3 linked regions of the Lepisosteus oculatus genome follow. The protein of the gene in region 1 purifies or fractionates together with the protein of each later gene. This does not show direct contact. Links are inferred from orthologs where the notes say so. Each region holds a gene or a part of one and is shown in the gene's direction. Other genes may lie near its edges. The genes, in order: mrgbp, epc2 and vps72b.

Evidence for each region.
Region 2: the proteins of mrgbp (region 1) and epc2 purify together in Homo sapiens (co-immunoprecipitation; 4 studies listed by BioGRID and IntAct, counting the BioPlex papers as one, with this or other methods). This does not show direct contact. The link is inferred for Lepisosteus oculatus from reciprocal best matches to the Homo sapiens genes MRGBP and EPC2.
Region 3: the proteins of mrgbp (region 1) and vps72b purify together in Homo sapiens (co-immunoprecipitation; 5 studies listed by BioGRID and IntAct, counting the BioPlex papers as one, with this or other methods). This does not show direct contact. The link is inferred for Lepisosteus oculatus from reciprocal best matches to the Homo sapiens genes MRGBP and VPS72.

Annotation. Positions count from the first base shown.
Region 1 is NC_090711.1:7,361,743-7,369,210, reverse strand, and holds the start of mrgbp (MRG/MORF4L-binding protein), read left to right. Parts: upstream 1-4,356; 5' UTR 4,357-4,402; coding exon 4,403-4,538; intron 4,539-5,918; coding exon 5,919-6,040; intron 6,041-6,561; coding exon 6,562-6,643; intron 6,644-6,914; coding exon 6,915-6,989; intron 6,990-7,129; coding exon of another isoform or gene 7,130-7,166; intron 7,167-7,468.
Region 2 is NC_090707.1:2,857,433-2,865,626, forward strand, and holds the start of epc2 (enhancer of polycomb homolog 2), read left to right. Parts: upstream 1-4,881; 5' UTR 4,882-5,145; coding exon 5,146-5,298; intron 5,299-7,668; coding exon 7,669-7,828; intron 7,829-8,194. UniProt on the Homo sapiens protein: May play a role in transcription or DNA repair.
Region 3 is NC_090722.1:5,052,659-5,060,266, forward strand, and holds the start of vps72b (vacuolar protein sorting-associated protein 72 homolog), read left to right. Parts: upstream 1-4,108; 5' UTR 4,109-4,123; coding exon 4,124-4,142; intron 4,143-5,156; coding exon 5,157-5,290; intron 5,291-6,612; coding exon 6,613-6,765; intron 6,766-7,304; coding exon 7,305-7,428; intron 7,429-7,608. UniProt on the Homo sapiens protein: Deposition-and-exchange histone chaperone specific for H2AZ1, specifically chaperones H2AZ1 and deposits it into nucleosomes.

The DNA of each region.
Region 1 (7,468 bases):
CTGCTGGCCCCACAAACACCTCTTCCAGCATCAACCATAGCTTCCCAGGAGGTCTCCCATCCAGGTACTGACCAGGCTCAACTCTGCTTTGCTTCAGCAAGTAGCCAGTTGAGAGCATCAGGGTGATATGGCTGCTGGCTTTTACAGTGCTATGTCTTCCAAATAAATAAAATCTTAGTCAATTTCACTCCTACTTGTTTAAGTCTCTATTGATGTTTACGACTGGTTAAAGTCAGAACCTGAATGTTTGATCTATGGACACTGGGGTAAGCTTAATGAGCTCCACATGGAAGTTGTCTTTCTTTTGAATATTTTGTTGTCCCCTGTATTGCACTGAAAGAAAGTCATGTTATCCAATATTATGGCATATTATCCAATATAAAATCAATTATCTGTATCACTGTCAAGTAGATATTTCTCATGGGAAATCTAAACATATCCAAGAAGCTGGCAGGAAGTTTTAACAGTCAAGAAAAGAAAACTGAAGTCAATGCACTTTCCTCTGGGAATGAGAAAGTTCAGGGACATTTCAGACTTTTCATTCTGAAAAATAAACCTTCCATGCTCTATGTTACTTGGTAACTCTCCAGTTTGGAAGGATTTCTTCTCTTGGAAAGCAAGCTAGACTAAATATAGACTAACCTTTCTGCACATCTGACAAACACATTAAAAACAGTGAGACAAATTAACACTTCCCCAGCTGTGAAACTGCATCAGATGTTAATCTAAGCATTTAATAGATTTTACCACAGAACCTGTAAGTGTTAAACAGATTTTAAATCACTGACAAATATGTCCTATTGCCAATCTAAAGCAACCTTTTCTACATTTAAAAATGACTTCTTCAGTCTCGGGGGTGAGTCAACATTTCAGTGACATACTTATTATCCAGATACCTTTCTGTGAACGCTGAATAGATTTCCTGGAAGGAACTGAACCAGTGATTGTGTCATAAAATGCCTTAATCAGTTAGTGTGATGAAATACACTCAACGGCCAAAATATTAGGAACCCCGTTTCATAAAATGGTGGAAATTTACAATCACCAACAGCTGTGTGACCAGGATGTGTCATGTGTTGAACAAATCTTTCACAGACTAGAAACACAATCTTTTCAGGGTTCTGTAGGGGGATTATCTTCAGTTTATGGTGTGTGAGATTGAACATGAACTCCTCACTGGTGTCCACCTGTACTCAATCAAAAAGTTGAAATGAGAGACATGAGATTGCCTGGGAAGGTGATGGATGTCTGTCTCATATTAAAGCATTCACACATTGCCTGGATCTCAGGGAGTTTCTTTCCTTATTTTGTCCAGTGAATTCTTAAGAGTAAAGGCTCACAATTGTGTACCACACTTTGACATAATGCATTCTGGCTCAGGTTCCCCTACTTCCAATCTGTAGTCTTCTATTTAACAAGGAATTAAGGCAAGTGAAAATTGTGTTTACAGCAGAATCGTTTCTTGAGTTTGTGAAAGGATGGCTTAGCCCGCATGGCTTAGGGCCATAGGACAGGGAGGCTGCGAGCTCCATGGTTGGAGAAAAAGGCAACCAAGGGGTAGCTGCAACTGTGGGAGTTGGGTGGAGGAATGCAAAACAAGCGAGGAAGAGTGTGGTGCATATGGGAATCTGAGAAATTACATCAGGATAAGTTGTGGGAAGCAGCAGTTGAGCTTTATTTGTCTTGCTGCCTTCAAACCTCCCACACTTTTGTTAGAACTCCATTAAAATTTCACCTCACTGCTGCAATCTGTTTTTGACCAGCAAGGACATACTGTACAGTAGTATCCTTAACTGTCTCATTGACAAAGAATGAAACCTCTCCCCTCTTCTGATAAACTATGGCCATGCTGCATAATCAGAAGAGGAGTTGTTACATATAGCTCCCTCCCAAAAGCCTTTAAGGTACTGAGTCAGAAGTGTTTTTTTTAGAGCATTTTTTTATACTTATAAGTCTAGCTCCGTGAAGTTGGCCCATCTAAGAAACAACATCCGAGAAGAAACACGGGAAAGTCCACCGTCTGACACCTGCGGACCGCGGCAATATTGGAAACATATATATTTATTTTCACGTAACAGAAGTGAACATATATCAGAATTATTGAATGAACTGTCATTATCCATGTGTTTGTATTTACAGGGGTCTTATGCGCAAACACGAAGCGGTGTGTATGTTTGTGTTTCCGGCCAGTCCTCGGTGTAGAATACAGCGTGAGGACACACCTGCCCTCTGAAGACACAGGTGTGGGTGCCTGTGTTAGATCCTCAGGTGAAGTCGAGTCTTCTGCAGTCTGCAATGTAATGACCCAGACATGTTTGCTTGTCCTGCTACATGAAGTTGCCCACCCGCCCGTCGAACAGCACAAACGACGAAACTCACCGCAATCGTTAATGCTGCGGTTTGTGTCGCTGTAAGTAGCGTTTCTGCTGCTTTCGTTTCCGACATATAGCGCCTTGTTTTTCGGGTATTCGAGTGACTACCTACAAGGAAGTTTACAGGTACCAACAAACTCGGTACTTGCCTGATTGTGATTAAGGCAATTTGTGAGGGCAATTTGTTTTCCGAATCTGTCTAGTCGGGTGGGGTGGATGTTTCAATGTATTTGAATATAGCGCCTTCTTTTCCTGGCTGTGATGTACAAAACAGCAAAGTCACGACCACCAGATATTTCAGTTTTGATCAGTTGACCCCAGACTTTGCAGCCTTTACCCGAATAAACAGTCATACATTTAGGAAGGAGTTACTATGTTAGTTCATTGGGTTAGGTGTTTTCTTTTATTTTTTTTACCACGTTCTCGAAAATGTATTTCTTGTGTACTCCTTTCATTGGTGAAGAGACACCAGTTTCCAAATTACCGCTGGTACAACACGAGAGTCCATATTCACATTTTTAGGTATTAGTTTCAAGATCGATATAATTTAACAATAAAAAAACCAAATTGAAAGCACGAGCATAATAATATAATGATCATAGACTTTACATTTCTATTCATTTTTGAAGTACAAAGCAGAAGGTGTTTCCCCTACCTTACGATGAAAATTGTTCAGATACCATGTATTCATTACAGAAAGCAGCGGAGACAGTTATATTGCAAATAAAAAAAATATTTATTTCGACGAGTACGGGACATTGTGAATCAATAAAGACGTTTTTAAAAATAAGCCGATGTAGTTATTTTACAAATAAGTAAAGCATTTAAAAAACAGATTCTCATTGACAGTAAACAAGCAGATCCAGCAGGCGCTACTAGCCTGAACAGCTCTCAGACCCGTGATTGGCTAAAACTCCCGAACAGTCCGGGCAGCGATTGGGTGAAGAGTGAGAATCGACAATCTGATTGGGTAAAGAGCCACAGCGGAAGTTCTGTGTGTACCGTGTGTGGTGTATGAGCACGCTGGATATACAGTAACACATCTATTGGTTTCCAATTACTGATCAATCTAACAGAGTCGCACTGAGGTCAAAACTGAATAGCAGACAACGAATGTCAAGGCATCCACTGCGCGTTCACGACTCCAATAGCATGTCACGATAGGAGCGCAAATCAGGATCACATCGCGATACCCATTGCGACTGCCGCATCACTGTCATGGCACCACTGTCGCAACATTAAGTCCATATATCGCGATACGACAAACCCCAGCAAAAATGCCCCGCCCTATGTTGCGACATGAAGCCCTTATATCGCGATATGACATACCCTGGCAAAAAGGCCCCGCTCCCATATCGCGACATGAAGCCCTAATATCGCGATATGAGATACACTGGCAAAAAGGCCCCGCCCCCATATCGCGACATGAAGCCCTTATATCGCGATATGACATACCCCGGCAAAAAGGCCCCATCCCCATGTCGCGACATGAAGCCCCTATATCGCGATATGACATACCTCGGCCAAAAGGCCCCGCCCCCATATCGCGACATGAAGCCACTGTATCGCGATATGACATACCCGGCAAAAAGGCCCCGCTCCCATATCGCGACATGAAGCCCTTATGTTGCGATATACCCTGACAGAATATGCTGACCCAGAATCTACTATTGAAAATCTCCTTGATTATGTTTTTTTCTTTCTTTCTAGTGTTATTTTGATAATAATAATAATCATCATAATCATAATCATAATAATATGACAATTTATGATAAATATAATATTTATGAATAATTTAGCATAATAATTGTTATTATAGAATTTTGAAAGTAATTTGTTATAAAAATAATCATAATTAACTATAACAATAATATAAACATATAGCGATAAAAACGGATTTTTTTTAAAAAAAGGTCTTAGCATAAAATAGGCCAAACCGAGATTGCAGCTCCTTCTTCATGTTGTTAGAGGGCGCTATTTTACTCTTTTTTGCTGAGCACGACCTTTTCCTGCTAGAAGATTCAGAAAAAATGGGAGAAGCAGAGGCCGTCCCAGCTGATGAAAAACAGGCAGATTCGGGGTCTAGTCCGGTGGAGGAGTCGGTAATATGGAGCCAAGAAGTGGAGGTCTGCCTTTTTCATGCTATGCTGGGCCACAAACCCGTAGGTAAGACTGCAAATGATTATGAACTACGACAAATGATGCCGCCACTTTTAAGGCCTATGAATCCTCGGTGTTGAGTAGTTAGGTCACCGACTGAGGAGCCGTTGCCGCCAGCCACGCTAACTAGGGTACTATTGAGGAAGAAAAGGAAGATATTGGAAACTGAAAATCCTACCTCAAATAGTGAATTTGGCAACTGCTGCTCAAATACAGTACAAGATGGAGAAAACCTATGCCATAGTAAAAACACACATTCAGATATCGTATTTTGTTAGGGTAGATGGGCGTTCTGTTTGTCCTCCTTGGGACCGTTTTTACAACTTGAGAGACCTTGCAAATATCTTAAAATCGACTAATGGTATCGCACAATACATCTACATTGATGTTACTGTTAATCGTTTATACTGTACATAATTTTTAAATGTGATCAATATTAATCTCGTAATTGTTTTTTTATACGACGAGACAATTCGTAGTAAACAACAGAGCCGTCTCCCCCTGGTGTACAAGCCAGGAGACGAAGACTAAAGCTTCTGTATAGCTCTGTTATATATCCAATATCACCTCACTAGAGACCAACTCATATCACATGGCCGTTGAATTGTTTTAGTTATCAGCAGATGTAAGAACATCATGGATAACGCTGCCTGTATAATGGAACTGTTTATATTTATAGTTCGGTACGCCAGGACCTTTAGGATTTATTCATTTGCCAATGTTTGAATGAACTGTGTCGAGCAGCTTAGTTTTTTTCCCATTTAACTTTTTGGTTTGTTGGCATTGAACAGATGTACTGTATATCGTGCTTTGTACAGTTACCCCACGAGGTGAAATAATAGTGTAAAAGAAAGTAATACCGCAATATAAAATTATGTCATCATCAGAAAAAGAATGGAAGATGCTTCATTAAAGACAACCGGAAGCTTCTAGAATTTAGGATATATTTGATCTTTTTTTTTCCATGTTACCAGATGATTATCCATCTGTTATGTTATTCTAAAAAGAGAGTTGTCCATAAGCAGCTTTTCCGCTCAAAACAGCTGCCACTTGTGGAGGTAGGGCGCTTGAGCAGATTTTCATTCACTCATCACCTGCCTCCTCCCAGGGCTGACTGATCAAATTCTGAATCATGAAAAGGTGGGTGCAGCAGACCTACAGGGGCCAACAAGAATATCTAGTCTGTAGCATTGGGTTGCGTCCTCTCTCTTAGGGCAAACCAAGAGATGGTGTGGACTACAAGGTTACTGACCAGGCCTGTATAGTAAAACCTATTAATGTTAAAAAAGGACCAGTCTAGTCCAATGTGGGATTGTGTTTAAGGGTTTTAATTCTTATTTAAACCTTACCATTTTGTTGTGTGTGTATAAATGTATTTTGTCTTAGGAGTTAATCGTCATTTCCACATGATCTGCATTCGGGATAAATTTAGCCAGAATATTGGACGGCAGGTTTCCTCGAAAGTGATTTGGGATCATCTGGGGACAATGTACGACATGCAAGCTCTGGTTAGTATGCAGTGGTTATTGGTAGTTGCATCCTGTTTATTTGTGGCACTACTGAAATTGCCTGTGTAGTCAGTTTGTGGGTGTTTGCTTCTGTGTCTGCTTTGTATGCCCTGTGATGGACTGCTATCTCATCCAGGGTGTATTTCGCCTTGAGCTCATTGTATGTGGGGTTAGGCTCCAGCTCCTCCCGAAACCCTTAAGTAGATAAGCAGATATTATGTTTAATGTGTTGCTAAGATTAGATCATTTTTACTACAATGACTAAGAGCTAATATAAACATAAAAAGGTGTTTTAGGTGCTACTAGCTGGAAATAATGTATGCAGCAATTGTGTCCATGTCTGCAGCAGTGTGAAAGATAGATTCTCAGTTTACTAAAACTAAAAGTTTTCCTCTTGTCCTATTAAGACTGTAGAAATATGTATTATTGTATATATTAAATATTGAAACTTAAAATATTCAAATATATTAATTATTAAATATAATATAAATGTTGTAATTTTTTGTTTCTGTTGTCTGCAGCATGAATCCGAAATCTTGCCTTTCCCAAACTCGGAAAAAAGTTTTGTTCTGCCAGAGGAAATTATTCAAGAAGTCAAAGAAGGTAAGACCGACTCACGCCTCACTACAAAAACATTCCTGACTGATTGTTCACAACAATCCTTGACATTCCTGATTTGTAAATATTGATTGCTTCTTTAGTCATATTTAAATGTTAGTAGACATTTTCAGTTTTTTGTAGTTGATGAGACGTTTGTCTCTAGCACTTTCTGCAGTGTCATACAATCTGAAAAATATTATGCCATGAGTGAAAACATATCATTTCTGTTCATTACTAGAATATGTTCTAAGTTTAGTTCTTTGCTGGCATGCAGGAAAACTGGTGGTCGAAGAAGAAGTCAAGGATGAAATCAAAGAAGAACGAGACCCACCTGCAACCATGGAAGAAGGTTCTCGCTTAATATGTTTATTTGGTTGGCTTGTTTTCATTTTCTAGTTAGATGTTGGCTGTGCTATTGCAGCACTTTGGCACCTTCTGCTGACAGAAACTGGTGTCCCTCATTCTGGTCATTTATCTCTCATTTTTAAGGTCTGAGACCCACTTTGGCTGGCCAGGATTGTGAGAGGTATGGACAGAAGAATGCTTTCACTCTGTTCCAACAATCCAATATGACCTCACTAGAGACCAACTCATATCACATGGCCGTTGAATTGTTTCAGTTACCACAAGGTGTACAAACATCATGGATTTCTCCCTTTGAAACAGGCAAATCCTTATTTATATATTGAGAGGACATTAAAAGCATGTCTTGGGGACGGATGTGCAATGTCATCTGTTGATTGATTTCATTTGTGCGTGGTTCTCCAGAAAAACTCTGTGTCGGGAACTCAGGTTTCAGTGTATTTTAAGAGTTCAGGATGATAAAAA
Region 2 (8,194 bases), on another chromosome or scaffold:
GAGGCATTTTGCTTCTTGTCTCTCGTTATACATGTCAGCTGAATAAGAACTGTACATTACTCTGACTCTCCTCACTTTTGCATCCCTGGAATTCTACCCAGTTCAGTAGAACAGCCCTAAAAACTAAAGGTCAAAGCAAATGTTACATAAAGTTTCACAAAATGCCTTGCTGTGTTACCATACGTCTGAAGTGTTCCCGAAAAGAAATTCCATATTGCATTTAGTTGCAATAAAAATCCCAACATATTGAATATATTAAAATGTCTTCTCTGATTAGTAAAAATGAAAATTGCCAAGTCAGCAATCAAGACCTTGCCACCTTTTGGGGGGAAAGAGACTGTTTTCAGGTAAGTAGTTCCTGTGGGGTCAAAACAATTTCCTGCTGCTTGCTGGCTTATCCTTAAACCACCGCAGAAGATGCACACCCCCCCCGTGCACAGGTGGATTGGGGATTGCAGACACCAGTGGCCAGGAGTAATCTGCAGCACTCAACCCTGCTCCTGGGCCGCGTACGGAGAGCCAGCTGTCGTGCAGCACGGGCGCGTGATCCGGCCAAAACAAGTCGCAAGCATCCCAGCCCCAGTGCACCACTGGGGGCAGCGTCACCGCCCTGCAGCCCTGCCCTGAGAGACACTGGACTTTCACACGCGCTCACTGCAGCCCCTTGCTCTTGGCCGATCGTGCCGGCTGTGTGCCGCTCCAGCGAGCTGGTGGGTGTGTGCTCCGAGCTCCTCGCGGAAGGGATGGGAAAACGGGTAAGAATGTCTGCAGGTGTGGCACAAGCGTTTCAGAGGGAGCACCTTTGGTCACTACCTAAAACCGCTAGAACAATAAATGTCTTAAGGTGAAGGAAATGTCCATAAACTGAAGACTTGGAAAGCCTTAAATTGGTCACAATATATTTTTTTAATGTTTTTTTATATATAAACATTTCTAAAGTCTTCTCTGTAATAAACGTTTTACCACCAACTGTTCATTGGATGCAGTCCTTTGAAATGTGGGAGATGTTTTTTTTTTTTTGATTGGCTGTTAAAATTGCACACTCCTGAGAAGAAGAGCCATTTAAATAGCAGTATCTCCTGGATATTACAAGATCAGATTACTTCCGCTTGCGTGAGCTGGAAGGTCACCTTTCGATCATCGGACCACTGAATGTTTATTTCACACCGTTCGTTCTCTGTGGAGAGACTGATGGAGGGCTCCTGCCTACGTGACTCACACCAAAAGTGCCTCAATGAATAAAACTGGGTCTCTTCTCCTGATGTTGAAATGTTGTATGGTTACACCTACTGGATACCAGTTAAAGCCTAAGTAAATTGTATGAAACATATCTCTGGACATACAGGGGAAGGAAATGGCTAAAAAAGCTGACAAAGTTAGAAGTAAAATGCTGTAGCCTAGTGTATATATTATGAAAGACTAAGTAACAAATACATAAAGTAATATTTCTATTCTCTCATAACGCACACTGCGAAAATTCATACAATCCAAAGGCTTTCACATTTCTCTCAATGGGGATCAACACTGCTCCTGTTGTAGTCTTGCAGCAAAAGGCTGCTTCCAACTTTTCCCACCGATTCCACTTTCACGGGCTGGTATTTCTCTTCAGGTTAAGTACCTGAATGCAATCGCTCCATACCAGAGCCGTCACTGTGTCCTGCTGCCAGTCCAGAGAGCCTTCATGACTCAGCCGGATTTATCATGACGGCTTTATGCAGAGCAGCCTGATTGGCTGCCCTCCAGCAAAGCCATCTTGATTGAAGGGCCTGGGAGTGACAGGCAGGTGCTCTTGAGCCTGAGATACCATTGCAGCACTTACAGGAAAGGCAGCTCCCCTTTCCCGGAGAGCCGGAGAGAGCCTGTTAATTCCAGTGATGAAACGGAGGCTGGACTCCATTCTGCAGGCAATCAGTGTTTTTTTCCAGCGTGACCCACCTGTGCGGTTTGCAGTCCTGAGGAAATGAGCGCGGGCTCTTCCCGAGCCGCTCACTGGCAGGAGAGCGGTCGGCTTGGCCGGCGTGGAGACGCCACAGCTACAGTATCCTGCTTCTGGGGGAAACGCAGTGTTTCCGTCATTCAACAGCGAAGCGTTGAGGCTTTCGGACTGAGAGGGATCTTGAGAGCAGGCCACAGCGAAGCTCACGTGGGGGGTGACTGAGAACGCGACTCCCTTCCCCGGGGTTAATGGGAAATGAAAGGAATGGTCAACCAAAGAGAACTGTACTTGCAGAGTTTGGGGCACATCTCAAGCCCCTGAAGGGGTGAAATGTTGAGTTTAAAAACAGCTTGTTGTGTACGAGGCGAACTGAGCTTGTGAATTGACGTAATTAAGAATTTTAATTACTTTAATCCCCATGTGTGTTACAACGTGCTGCCATTTTGCTACCAGGCTGTCACTCCTGAGAGCTCAGTAGCTCCAGATCAAGTCCAGACCAGAGCCATGGTGCCTCATCGGCCCAGAGCTCGTCCTGGGTTCTGAAGAGCACAAGCCCTTCTGTCTCAGGTGAGAGTGACCAGATGAAAGCAGATGTCTTTAATGAGTCTGTGAAATGAAATATTGGAAGGGACTGCATTTGCAAATACTTCCATAATTACGTTCCGGTTTTCCAAGTGTCTTGCATTTTCATGTCGTGCAGTGAAAGTAGTTGTATAGTTGCAGAATTATTGCTTTTTTGGGATCATTTTCATTGCAACTGTCTTCTCACTGTGGTTAAAAATCCACCACTGGGGTGCAGTTTCACAGTGCAAAAGGAAGCTTTTCTGATTGGTTTAGAATATGTCTGTACAAAATGTATGTACAAAAACAACATTAACAAGAAATCCGAACAGTAATCTTTTTTATCTTGTGCATCACAGTAGGTGTTGAAGCCTGGATTATTCCTTTTCCAAAATGTATCCACAATTTTCACATCTGAGTAACCTGAACTGTAGTTCCTGTAAAGCTCCTGGACCAGTATCTGTATATATGTATACTGTATGTTTTTTTATTACATAACAAAATAGATGGTTCAACCCCGTGAGCAAAAAAACAAGATGTGGTCGTTTGGAATGATCCCAGTCTCTGGGATCTGTGGTGACCCCTGGCTCACCTGAGAGATGACACAGTAGCACTCGTCTGACTTGGGCGATATCAACAAAAAACACCCTGTACCGTTCTCGCCAGCTTTCCTGCGAACTGCAGGAATGATCTAATTGTGCAGTAGGGTCGCGCTGTATGAGAGGATTCCAAGAAACCAAAGTGAGATCTTAGTCCTCCTGTGACTAATGATTTCAATTGGCATGCCACGAGCCAAAGAGCTCAACAGATGAAAATCACAACTTCCACTGTAACAAATTGAGATGGACCTTGACTGGCAACATTGTCATGCAAGCCAATCTGCCTCTCTTCAGTTAACTGGTTTACTGTTGTACTGGTGCACAAAGTGCAGTGAAACTGTTTCGATTCTTCAACATCTCGTTAAGATCTGGTACAGTTTCTAAATCCCGGAGTTTTGAACAATGGAAAAAAGCTAACAGCAAAGAATCTCTTAAATGTAACTATTGCTGAATATCACGTTAAACGTGAAGAAATTGGAGATTATAACTTTGATTCTACACAGACAGTACCAAAAAAGCATTTTATTAAGCTTTCAAATGAATATACAGAATAAAAGCATAAATAACTAAATATGAGGTACTCTTACAGAAATACTTTTTTAGTAGGACAAAATTGAAATAGACCTTTCCACCCAGTGATGTTTAAGAACGATTATACCCTTTAAGGTGCTATTGGTTCAAAATGCTGTAATATAAACTAAAGATTTAAATAAAATTCAAGACTAGACAAACACCTGGCAGACGATATTCAATGCAGACAGATAAAGTGTATTACATTGAGGTAGCAAAAACATTAGATGTTAAAATGGGAAATGTCTACTTATGGAAAAGTTTATATTATTGTAGACAAGCTATTTGCTGTCTTCTAGACGATGTGGGGAAGCAATTTAAAACACCAAATATATCGTCACAACAATTAAACTTGAAATTTAAATCAAGACAATTGTGCCATTGTGCAAAGGACTATTAGTACGAGTCGCTACAACCCGACGGACCAGTGATGCCGAACAGCCTCCTCTGGTCCGGAGCCTGTCTCGGGCTCTTGCAGCGGGTTCGGACTCGGGCCGAGTGCTGCTCTAGAGACTCCACAGCTCGGGAGGCTGAGAGACCAGCCCTTGTCCTCAGCTGCTCCACATGAACACCAGGGGAGCAGGACCTGCCAGGGCAGTACCGCCCGGGAGGAAACCTCGGGTTTTCACGGCGCCGAATCTCCGTGTGAACTACTTTAACACTCACGGGGAGTCACCTCGTCAGGCAAGGAGACCTGTCACACGAACTCCCTTTCGGACTTCATGATTTATGAATCATTCATTTTCTTTTCCTGAAAAAAAAATCTTGAAATCAGAAATTGGCGTGTTTTTTTTTTTGCATATCTTTTTTTTTGCAAAAAGCTACTGGTCGTTTACACATTTACATCACGGACGTCTGAGTTTATTTCGGGTAGCAGTGCCTATGGGAGTAGATCGATTTAGGACAGCCAGTCGCAAGTGCCCAACAAGGCATCAACTTGATAAAATATCTTTGGGAGAGAAACCACCGGAAGTTGCAACCATGCGGGGCAACGGATCGGGACGGTGCTGTGTTGTGTCAGCCCACCTCAGGACTACAGGAGTCCTGTTGGGTCAGCTGGAAGCGGACTGGTCCTCGACGAGCGACGCGCTCCGAGCTCACAGCGCAAGCGGCGGGCTGCGCGCGCCCGGCCGTCGGAGCTCGTGCCGCCTGCCGCCGGGGCTGCGCGCGCAGCGCCCCGGCCCCCGCCGCCCGGGTGTCTCGCGCGGGCTGCCGGGATCGCTCTGCCGCTGTGTGGAAATGTCCGCCATGTTTTCCATGGCGCAGGGAGCGGATCGACCGAGGGAAAACCGCCTTTAAATCCGGGAAAACTCGACCGAAAACGGCTTCCCTCGCTGGATTCCGAGCAAAGGGGAACCCATGAGTCCGGCCGCGGCGGAAAGAACCGGGTCCCCAGTGGTTTTAGTCCGAGTTTTCGAGTGAACTGTGGCGGGATAAATGTTTCCTTCCAAATTGATGTTATTGTGATCGGCGACAACAATGAGTAAACTCTCGTTCCGAGCGCGAGCGCTAGACGCCGCCAAACCTCTCCCCATCTACCGCAACAGAGACCTGCCGGACCTCACCGACTGCGTCTCCATCAACCGGGCCGTGCCGCAGATGCCGACGGGGATGGAAAAGGAAGAGGAGTCGGTATGGCCGTATTTTAAAATTATATTTTGTTGTTATTATTTAGGGAGCGAAGCGGGGTGTTGGTATTCCTGGCAGGTTTACGCAAACGTCCATGCGTAGCACTCTATGAGCGCCGCTGTGGTCTGCGTAGTCTACGCAAACATCGTTTCCGTATCTGGCGGTGATCGCCATGTTTACACTCGGTGCGCAAGTTACGCAGATGGCGTAGGGCAGCGGGTCTATTTCTGAGTAACGAGAGGGAAGTAATACGTAGCTTTCTTTGTGAGTCCCTAGGTATTTTGCTTTTGGGGAAATGCTTTCCCGGTTCAGTGTGTCTGTCTTTGTCCTTACGCAGCGCAGTTAGCGTAAGGAAATCAGTGAGCCAGTTTCATAAGTGAAGTTAGGTTTGCGTACGTTGCTTTGATAAACAAGGTTTGTGCGTATAGTGTTCCGCCATTGGTCCTGCGCTGCTCATGTTGGACCGACAGAGATTTGTGCATTATTACTTGCAGATGAACAAGCTCGTAGTTAACAATATGCAGTTCACATGCGGGAGCCAGCGTGCCTCTGTGATAACACTGCACAAGTTAGAGGTACTGGCAGTGCACACGTTTGCTCATGCATGCATGCATTCAATGTGAAAGACGTGATTGGTGTAAGTAGGCTTGTGTCAGATAATGGCTTATTAATTAATCCTCTCTGATCAGGATGGCTTGTGCATTGCAGCTGAGCTCGTAGCGTGCTTGCATTTTTTTTTAGTTGTTGCCGTTTCTCATTAATATTCTGAACTGTTACATTGGCGGGGCTGCGGGTACTCTTGCAAGATGCCCCAGCCGTAGTAGTAATCGCCACCCGTGTTGTCAGCGCAAGAAATTTCTCAATGGAATTTGTCGTACCTGCAGGGGCCCCGCCCCCTCCGCGCCCTCATTGGCCAGGCGCGCCGGCGCGCTTTTCATTCTGTCAGAAGTCGAGCTGTGAAGCCCTCTGGGGTGAATGAGATTTACACGTCTTTTTTATCATTTTTGTGCCGAACACAAAGTTTCATTCTGTTATGCTTGCTTGCAGCGCGTATCGAGAAGAATCCGTTTTCGTTATACATCTTTAGGTTCCCCTAAGCTGTCTTGAAGTATAATGTTTTTTTGATCAACCTCTGTTTTCAGTATTATTGCAGCCCGGTCTGTTCTAACTACACGATCTGGTAGTACAGTGTGCATTGAGGATGCAGAATAAGCACTTGCTCACTGGTGTAGCGCTTTTATAGATTTTCCACCAATTTCTTTTTTAATGGTTCTGATACAAAAGAAATCAAAAGGTGATTTGGTCTAATCGTTTGAAAATCTTCATATCAGGCACTTCTAAAATATAAGTTGTGCTCGCCAACAAATACCTTTTTTTTAGTTTTGCGATGCCACTCAGCTGTAGCACCTGTGAATCACAAACCACATCACCAGATTTTGTGAATTAAGTTTGAATATGTTCCACTGTTTGATATTCAGATGCTTTGCAGCCCTTAATGAAACTTCTAAGGGGAGGAGCTGTGTGCTTTTGATCTCAAGCAAAGTGCATTTTTTTTCTTTTACTCATTGCAAAATAACCTAGATGTCACATCACATTCTGCTTTGTATTTTTTTACATTTTTCAGCACAGGGTGGTGTGCATCTGTAATCACACCTGCTGCAGCTCTCAGTAGTCACAGGCAGGAGGCCCTGTTAATTAGCTCTGCTGATACCCCTGGCCAGTGATCAGCCTTTGCCATTTGAGGGCATCGAGATCAATAATGATCACTAGTATTCTAGCGAGCCTCTGCCATGTCTAGTGATTCAGGATTTTGTGGGATTGAAGATTAACTGGAACGTCTGACCAGATCCGTGACACAAATTGCCATTCGGGTGCCAGCCGGTCCTGATCTCCGAGCTCGGACCCAGCTGTGGCACTTGGCTCAGATGGGGGGTCTCTGAGAAGGAGGGCCCAAAATCAGTTAAAGTTTTATGCACGTAGTGATACTGTGCTCCAGAATCGTATTATCCAAATATGTTTTCATTTGCGATATGTTTTCTTGATAATATCAATCAATATTGATTAGGCAAAGCAAGCTAACTGTTGAGCTGAGGGACACGCAGCTCCCAGCTCCCGGGAGCAGAAAACATACTTCACATTCCTTAGAGTCGTCAGTTTTAGCTAAAATGCATCCCATATCACGAAGAGCATAAAGCTAAGAGTCGAAACTGAGTTTAGGGATGCCATCAAGTCGGCAATTTTGAAACATTTTTAAAATTGGGATGTTTTCACCTGTTGTGTTGAAGATATCGCGGTGGATGGTAACTGCCTCTGTGACGAGTGGTCGATGCAGATTTGTCTCTTACAGTACGTCTGGTTTCCTTTCCCTTCCAGGAACACCATTTACAGCGAGCCATTTCAGCACAGCAGGTCTTCAGGGAGAAGAAGGAATGCATGGTTATTCCGGTTCCCGAGGCCGAAAGTAACATCACCTACTACGACCGCCTTTACAAAGGAGAGTTCAAGATTCCCAAACAGCTTATCCACATTCAGCGTGAGTCTCTGTTCGATGCTGCGTGTTTAAATTCCAGCTGTTACTTCTTTCCCCACTTTAATGTGTTGCGCAGGTTTGTCAAGAATCAGTGGTAGGCCTGCCAGGAAACGCATTTCACTGCCAGTGCAGAGCGTAGCGAGTATGTCGCGCTGTTCTAGTTCCCAAAGAGAATGCGGGCAGCTACAACTTCAGAATTGTTTCTGCAAAAACTGCCTTAACTGTTAAAGGTTTTGCACACGTGTGTTTTTCTTTATTTAGGGTTCCGAAAGTTCCATTGGTAAACCTGAAATCTGTTAAATCCAACACTTTAAGTGATAATACTCTAAATGTGGTAAAAAGTCCCAATTATATCAATATAGCCATTTT
Region 3 (7,608 bases), on another chromosome or scaffold:
CTTGTTTTGTATGGTTTATTCCACAATGATGTTTCTTGAAAACCTGGAACAAGAGAGTCCACATCACCCAGATGAGAATATACTCATCTATATTCAAAGGGGTTCCCCAAATTCTGTTCCAGGACCCCTCTCCAAAGCAGCTCTCTTACCAGCTCAGCTGTGCTTCATGGGAAAATTGAGATCAAAGTGAACCGCTGTACAGTACGTACAACACTGACAAATATAATAGAGTGGAGCAGTTCATCTTCAGCAATTCACCAGTCATGCCAATAGAGCTCTGTGAATTGGAATAGTACACAAAAACCACAACATGGCTGTTTTTTTTTTCTGTCCTGGTCCAGTGTTTCCAGACGGCTCAAGTGGGAACTATGTGACAAACCGAGAAAAAGGACACGCCTCTTTACACAAAGGGTGGTGGGAGTGTGGAACAATCTGCCCAGCCATGTTGTGGAGCCCGATACACGGGCTGCTTTCAAGAAACAGTTGCGCCAAGTCATTAATAATAATAATAATAATTGCTTAAACTTATATAGCGCTTTTCTGGACACTCCACTCAAAGCGCTTTACAGGTAATGGGGACTCCCCTCCACCACCACCAATGTGCAGCATCCACCTGGACCATTAGATCAACCGCATCCTAATGACAAAACAAAATGGGCGCAATTCCTCTGGTTCTCGTGTTCTTCACTTGGGGACCTGTTTCCAGAACTAGTGTACCTGACAGACCCCCGATCCGGGCGATTGTTCCCCGCAGCTCAAGCGACAACGACAACGCACGTCAGCAGATTCTTTGCCATTTGTTTGAAGAGGACGCACAAAAGCGAAAGGAGTCTTGATTGTCTCTCCGGCGTGACAGCGCTGGGTAAACTTTGCCGGGAGCCGTCAGGTGCTTTACCACTGAAGCGCAGACGAGCAGTATTTGAATTGAACACTCGCTCGGGGCTCTCATGCTGAACACACGCTCCCCTGTTCCCCGTCCCGACTGTGTGCAGGTAGCAGAAAGGGACGGAAAATGTATTTTGGAAGGTCGTTTCCTAAGGCCCGTCACGTGTGAGCGCGGCATTTTGCTGATGGACCGCAGATCGGCTATTTCCTATTCGGGACAGTGCACGGCTTTTACGTGCAGCTGGGACAATAGGCGCCACTGTTTCTATTGTTGGCCTCGGGCCTGTCTCTCCGTGTCTGCCTTTTACAGCAGTGAGGGGGGGGAACCTATTGTCTATGGTCAACTGCCCCCACAATGCAGCGAGGCCAGCAAAAAAAAACGCGATTTTTTTCCACCTGCTGCTCCATCTCGTGGTGCTGCTGAGTATCGCAATTGCGTTTGGGCAAGGAGTCTCCGCTTGTCTGTCTGGACTCGCTTCTCTCATCGCCCCCCCCAAAAAAAATATTCCCCTTTTCTGGATGGGGAGATTCTTCTGCAGCGCAGGCGGGTGTGTTTCTGCTACGGCGGCTCCTCTGGGCTGGATCGCCTGGGAGACCGCCCATCAGGTGTGTGCGGCCGGACAACGTGGGTGGTCAGTTTATTACCGTCCGGAGCTTTTGGGGAAAAACGAGCAATCGGGGGAGATACAGCTGGCCTGAAACAAGCTGGGAACAATGGCTACGCGGCCACAGCCCCTTCTTTCAAAGTGCCCTCGTTTGTACCGCTTTTGCGTGTCAATGTACCCGGAAAATAATTAAAATAAATGAGACGGATGGTTGTGTGTCTTACTGACGTTTAAGAACGGTTAAAAACGAGAGGCCATTCAGTCCGTCAAGCCCGTTTGGTAGTTAAGAGTTTCGTGATCCAAATATTGATTCCTTCTGAGTCTCAGAAATATCGAACACGTATATAATGAAAGCCAGCGGCGTGCTCTCTCACAGTGGAATACCGTCAGCAAATAAGGACAGAAACGAGAGGAGTCATTCGGCCCATGCAGTCCATTTAGTAGTTTGTAGCTAATTATTCCAAGAAACCTCACCCAGCTGTTTCTGTAAAGAAACCACAGTATCGGCTTCAGCAACGTGGTTGTTCCACACTCCCGGCACTCTTTGTGTAAAGAAGTGGCTCCCGTTCTCATGTTTTAAATCTACACTTCCAAGGAAGTTCCCACCGGTGCCCTCTAGTGGGGGGGTAGCCACTGGGTCCGGGATGACCCGTCCGGATTAAACTGATCCGGAGAGCGTTCCATGTTTCACCGCTGGTCCAGGCTAGAGGCGATCGTTGATGTGAATAGCTACCAATTACCAAGAGCTGGCTGTGATAATTCGCCCCCTCTTGTCGGCAAACTATCCTCAATTTTTAAATTGCCTGCTGGTGCTTTTCTGGAACACCAGCTCCTTGTCTTCAGCCACGCCGCCATACTAATTGAAGGAATTCTTGTATTAAGTATTAAAGGTTTCCACTTAAGTGGAAATGTCTGTTAAAGTGTGGTGGGTGCTGGGCCGCTGTGCATGAGGGATATTAAGGAAGACTAATATTTAGGAACAGTGTTCATTTCTAGGGGTGGTACCCCTGTCAGTCTTTATTGATGGTGCAACTCTTACGGACACTAAAAGCATTCAGAGTGAAGGAGAGTTTTGGCCGACTGGCGTTGTTCAAAGGGAGGGTGGGTGCTCAGCCCTGGCGGCCTCTGCATGGTGTCCACGGGTCCCTCTGTTCTAGAGTCCGAGGCTGTCCAAGGCTGGGGAGCGGCAGGATTCTCGGGGTCCCCTGTGTTTGCAGTGGGGGAGGGGTGGGGGGGGTAGCCACTAGGTCAGGGTTGCTGGTTCGGGAGGATGGTGGGAGGCAAAATAACCCGGAAAGCGTTCCAGATCCGGAGTGGGACAGCCATGGCCTTTTCCCCCCGAAACTGTGAAACCCAACACTCCGTCCAGAATTCGAGGGATTGCGTCCGACTCGGAGAGCCCGGGAGAGCGCGCTCCTCCCCCTCTGCCGGAGGTGAAACTGCTCGGCTGAAACTCTGCGGATGCTCTCTCGATAAGAGCATCTCGCCTGTCCCCATTCTTAAAACACAGCCGCCTCATTCCCCTCATCAGTAGCCCCATTCTTTGCAGCTGTGGCCTGAGATGAATGTGGGGAATGCGGCCAGGGAACATATCTGCCCTTAGATCCTTTTCACATAAATCTTCCAAGAATCAGACTGTCCTTCATGCAGCATACCAGATCTTATCAGTTTTAGCTGGTACAACATTTGTATGCATTCCAGTGCACTCTGGAAGCAGTCTGTAATAACCTGAAATACGTGAAGAATTTGCAAAGTCATCCATCCTGCCTAATATCCCTTCACACATGTTTCTGTATGGTTAACGCTCACCACATTTGACTGAGATCTGATGCATTTGTGTTTCGACTATATTTCCTTCTTTTTCACACATTATCCTTCGAAGGGACCTGCTTGCAGGCGCTGGGAACTGAATGCTGAGACAGTTGCAGCGTGCTCCCTGCCATGTCCATCGGTGCTTTCTGTGAAAACCCAGGTGGCAGGCAGCTGGATTAACTGACATTGAAAAAGGCATTGAGGAGCTGGAGCGTTCAAACTGGGGCTTGGCAGCAGAATTGCAACCAGTTCCTATATCCCAATATCCCCTGGCAGCAGGCAGAGGGTAGCCAGCACAGTGGTTATGCCACAGACTCCCATACAGTATATCAAGAGGCAGCCTGCTTAGGCAGAAGAAGAAATGCAAACATTGTTGGATTAGAATTAGTCCAAATCATCTCTTACTTGTATGACCTTGCAGGAATGTTCAGTGCTTTGGCAACACAGGCACACTCATTGTTGCTATCAGTTTTAACCTGGCACAACTGGTACTAGCACATTAGTAGGCGTAACATGTAGTTCCACCTGTGTTTGTGTATAAACAGTCAACACACCATGTTGCTAGTGCTGCTGGTGATTCCTTCAACCGCCTGTTGCTTTGAGGTGTTCTCTACAGCTGCTTGCAAGTCATGTGAAAATGGCTGACGCCAAAGGCCTCCAATCCTGATCCTAGAGGAGCTCCTAGATCTTTTTGAAACACCAGCACCAGTTTGTTAAATTGGGCCCACTTCAGCCATTAGGAGCTGATTGGACTTTGTACAGAGCTAAGCAAGGATGAAACACCTGCACAAGCCAGCCACCCAGGACCAGGGCTGGTGTCCATGTCAATCTACAGCACAGGTTAAAAGGAACTGAGTCTCTTCAGTCAAGTGCAAGAGAGCTTGAGAGAAGAAAGCTGCTAAATCATACATTTGTTTACACACTTTGAAAATCAATTTGCTTTTTTTTTTGTCTGATGCCTTTATCTAGGGCAACTTAGATTTGCCCCCATTTACCAACATACAGCTGGCTATTCAGGTGAACCAGCTCACTCAAGGATAGAAAAGCTGTGTCACAGCTGGAATTCGAACCCACAGCCCTCCAGTCTCGAACCTTGAGCAGCCTTCATTGGTAGGTGATGATCTGTGATGGCTCAGTCTCCTGAAATAATGATTTACTTACTTAACTGGGTCCTTTGATGCAGGTGGCAACATAAGATAACTGTCAAACTGTTCACAGCCGGATGAAGTTAATAATTGTCCAATTTTATTAACCAGTTCCCTTGAGCTATCTCACATGGGGAGGCATTTTGACTCCTGGGAACTGGATTGGATTGCTTTGGTTTTGATGTCCTTTGAAGGATTCATCACCTGATTTTTCAGCCAGAATATTGTGAACAAATCCCTTTGTGACGCTAAAATGTGCAATGTGAAATGTGCGAGCGAATCGTCAGTCAGACGATATTCATTTAACTGCAGGAACACCGAGGCTTGAGAAAGAATTGTAGAGGGTGAATGCTGAGGTAACACTGTCACCTCCTGGTATAAACTCGTCACAACCACTGCGGTTCAGCTCCATTAGTTGAGTCTGGATTCAAGGCTCGGCAATCAATTACAAAGACTTAAAACATGCAATGGCCGCCTTGCACCGTAGGCCGGATTGCGAATAGTGTCTAATTCTGTTGTTTAAATAAAGAAAATAATTGGACTTAAATATAGTTTTCAGAAAAAAAAACCAAGGCGTTTTCACAAAAATAACTTTCTTGTTAAATTCGACGGACGGTACAATCTAGAAGTAAACGGATATCTTAATCTTACAGTATAGCTTTACTACTGAAGGCTGAGGGGGTCGTGTTTATTTATTTTTATTTTGCAGACGAAGTTTACCCAAACATGAGTTTAGCCGTCGGTCGAGCACCGCGAAAGACGGCGGGAAACCGTATGTCTAAATTATTAGATGCGGAAGAAGATGACGAATTCTACAAAACGACTTACGGCGGATTCAACGATGTAAGTTATTAACACAAGACTTTACGTTAGAACAGATTTCTTATCAGAAATAAAATTAATTTAATAGTACAGGAAATATGAAATTGGAAGCTTCAGGTTAATACAGTAGTCATTTTGTATGCTTAAAACGTTTACACAGGTCTCCCTCATTGAAATGAAAATCGTAGATTTGGAAATGTTACGAGACCGAGCATAAAGCGAACCGCACACGAACACCTCAGCATGTGTCGTTATGGGCGGTAAGCTTGGTGAAGATTACTGGATTTCACATTTGGGCTTTCTGGACCCCTATGTCCGCTCGCTTTTGTTCCCTTAATCAACGGAGTTCATTTATTTAGGTTTTCTACTTGAGGCGTCTTCTGCTCTTATCAGTCCGAAGGAGATTTGTAATGAGCTCTTGTGCTAATATGAGGGACAGATGTAACCAGCTGGACTCGAGCACAAGGAGAGACGCTGGCTCGCTGCAGGACCAGAAGCGAGAACCACTGATGTAGGGCAGCACAGGAAAAGCTGATTTTCGCGTCAGGTAAAGGTTTATTCCGTGCTGAAAGGAAAAGAAAAGCGACAACGTTTCGGCTGTGGAGTTTCTTCAGTTATAAACTAAACGCACCTGAAGAAGGCTCCATAGCCGAAACGTAGTCTCTCTTCTTTTACTTTCAGCATGGAATACATCTTTACCTGTTCCTTTGCAGCCTACGCATGCTGACACTGCCACCTGAATTGAATTTCTGGTTTTACTGTAAACAGGGCTGTGATAAAACTGGCATTTTTTTTATTGTTGTTGTTGTCGTTCTGCAAAGAGCTTTTTTTGAAAGCCACCTTTTAAAGGTGCTATATAAGTTAAAGTTGATTATTATTGTGTTGCACTGCTCATGTGTGGGAGCCCCACAGGTGTGTCGGGGACAGCTGGGGGCACCTCTGTGATAACCAAAAATCAAAACTCAGCATGGTATACATTAGCATGTAAAAATGGCCGAAGCCAAGGGTCTGCAATCTTAGTCCTAGAGAAGCTGGTGTTTCAGTTAGGGCTCCTAGGTCTCTTTGAAATCCCAACAACAGTTATTAAATTGCAGATGCATTGTATAAAGTGTATATCCAGTGGTATAAAGATCCAGTGCTGTGTTCCACACAGCCCTATTAGCAATAATCTCTGACTCCTTCGTGCCAATTTGTAATTAAGATGTTCTAGGACTAGAGCTTTTTAATCTGCCGCTACTTATGGAGGTGCTGGAGTGTTTTTGATGAATCCCGGAGAAAACGAGCAGATTGCTCTTATAAGGGCGCCGCCCCCTCCCATCGGGTTCATTCCTCTCTGCTGGCAGGAGTCGGGCGACGACGAGTACAAGGGCGACCAGTCGGAGACGGAGGACGAGGTGGACAGCGACTTCGACATCGACGAGGGGGACGAGCCCGACAGCGACCAGGAGGAGGACGAGCCCCGCAGGAAACGGCGTGTGGTCACCAAGGCCTACAAGGTCAGGGGGCGGCTCTGAGAAACTCTGGGCCTGTCGGGGGGTGGTTTCATGGGGCGTCTGCAGGCAGCCAAGACACGGTATTCCTGGGGAATAAGATAATCTCTGTTACTCTTTTGTTGAAGGGTGTCTGATCGGAGGGTCTCAGAGAGGAATCGTCTCAGGCAACTTGGCAGGGTAGCTTTCTCCAGCTCTTAGGCTTTGTGTCTAAAAGTGCCTCCTCTTTGCACTCTTAATAAACAGGTTTCCTTTTGACACTGCTGTGCTATTCTTTTTGGCTTCTGAGGGGTTTGCAGAAGACGCTGTGCCCTGCCTTTGTGTTTTTTGATCCCAGTGATTGCCCTCGCCGGGCTTTTGAAGTTTGCTTTCGATTAAGCAGAAACCTGCCGACCGCCCGGCGCTTTTTAAATCTCTCCGCGGTGGCTGGACTGTCCTCCAAACTGCGGAGTGGTGGTGCGCATGCCGAGAATGTGGCCGACCATGAGGTCGCAGCCCCTGACTCGGTGTCCGTGTGTCGTCTGTGTCCGAACGGTGTTGTCCAGGAGCCCATCAAGGTGGTCAAGCCCAAGCCCAAGCCGAAGAGGCCATCTGCGCCGCCCAGCGGGTCGGTCAAGGAGAAGGAGGAGAAACAGGAACCCCTGGAGTTGCAGGATGACATAGGAGAGAGTAAGACCCCTGCTTCTTCTTCCTTTGTTCTTTTTCGGGTTTTTCTTCACAGCCCTGATAACGTTCCTGTCATTGACTGCTGTCGCCTTCCCTGAATGACCCGGAGTTTGTCGATTGATCACTCCTCCCGTGATTTCTCTTTCAAGACCTTCCAGATTGTTGGATTTGGTTCCAGACTGG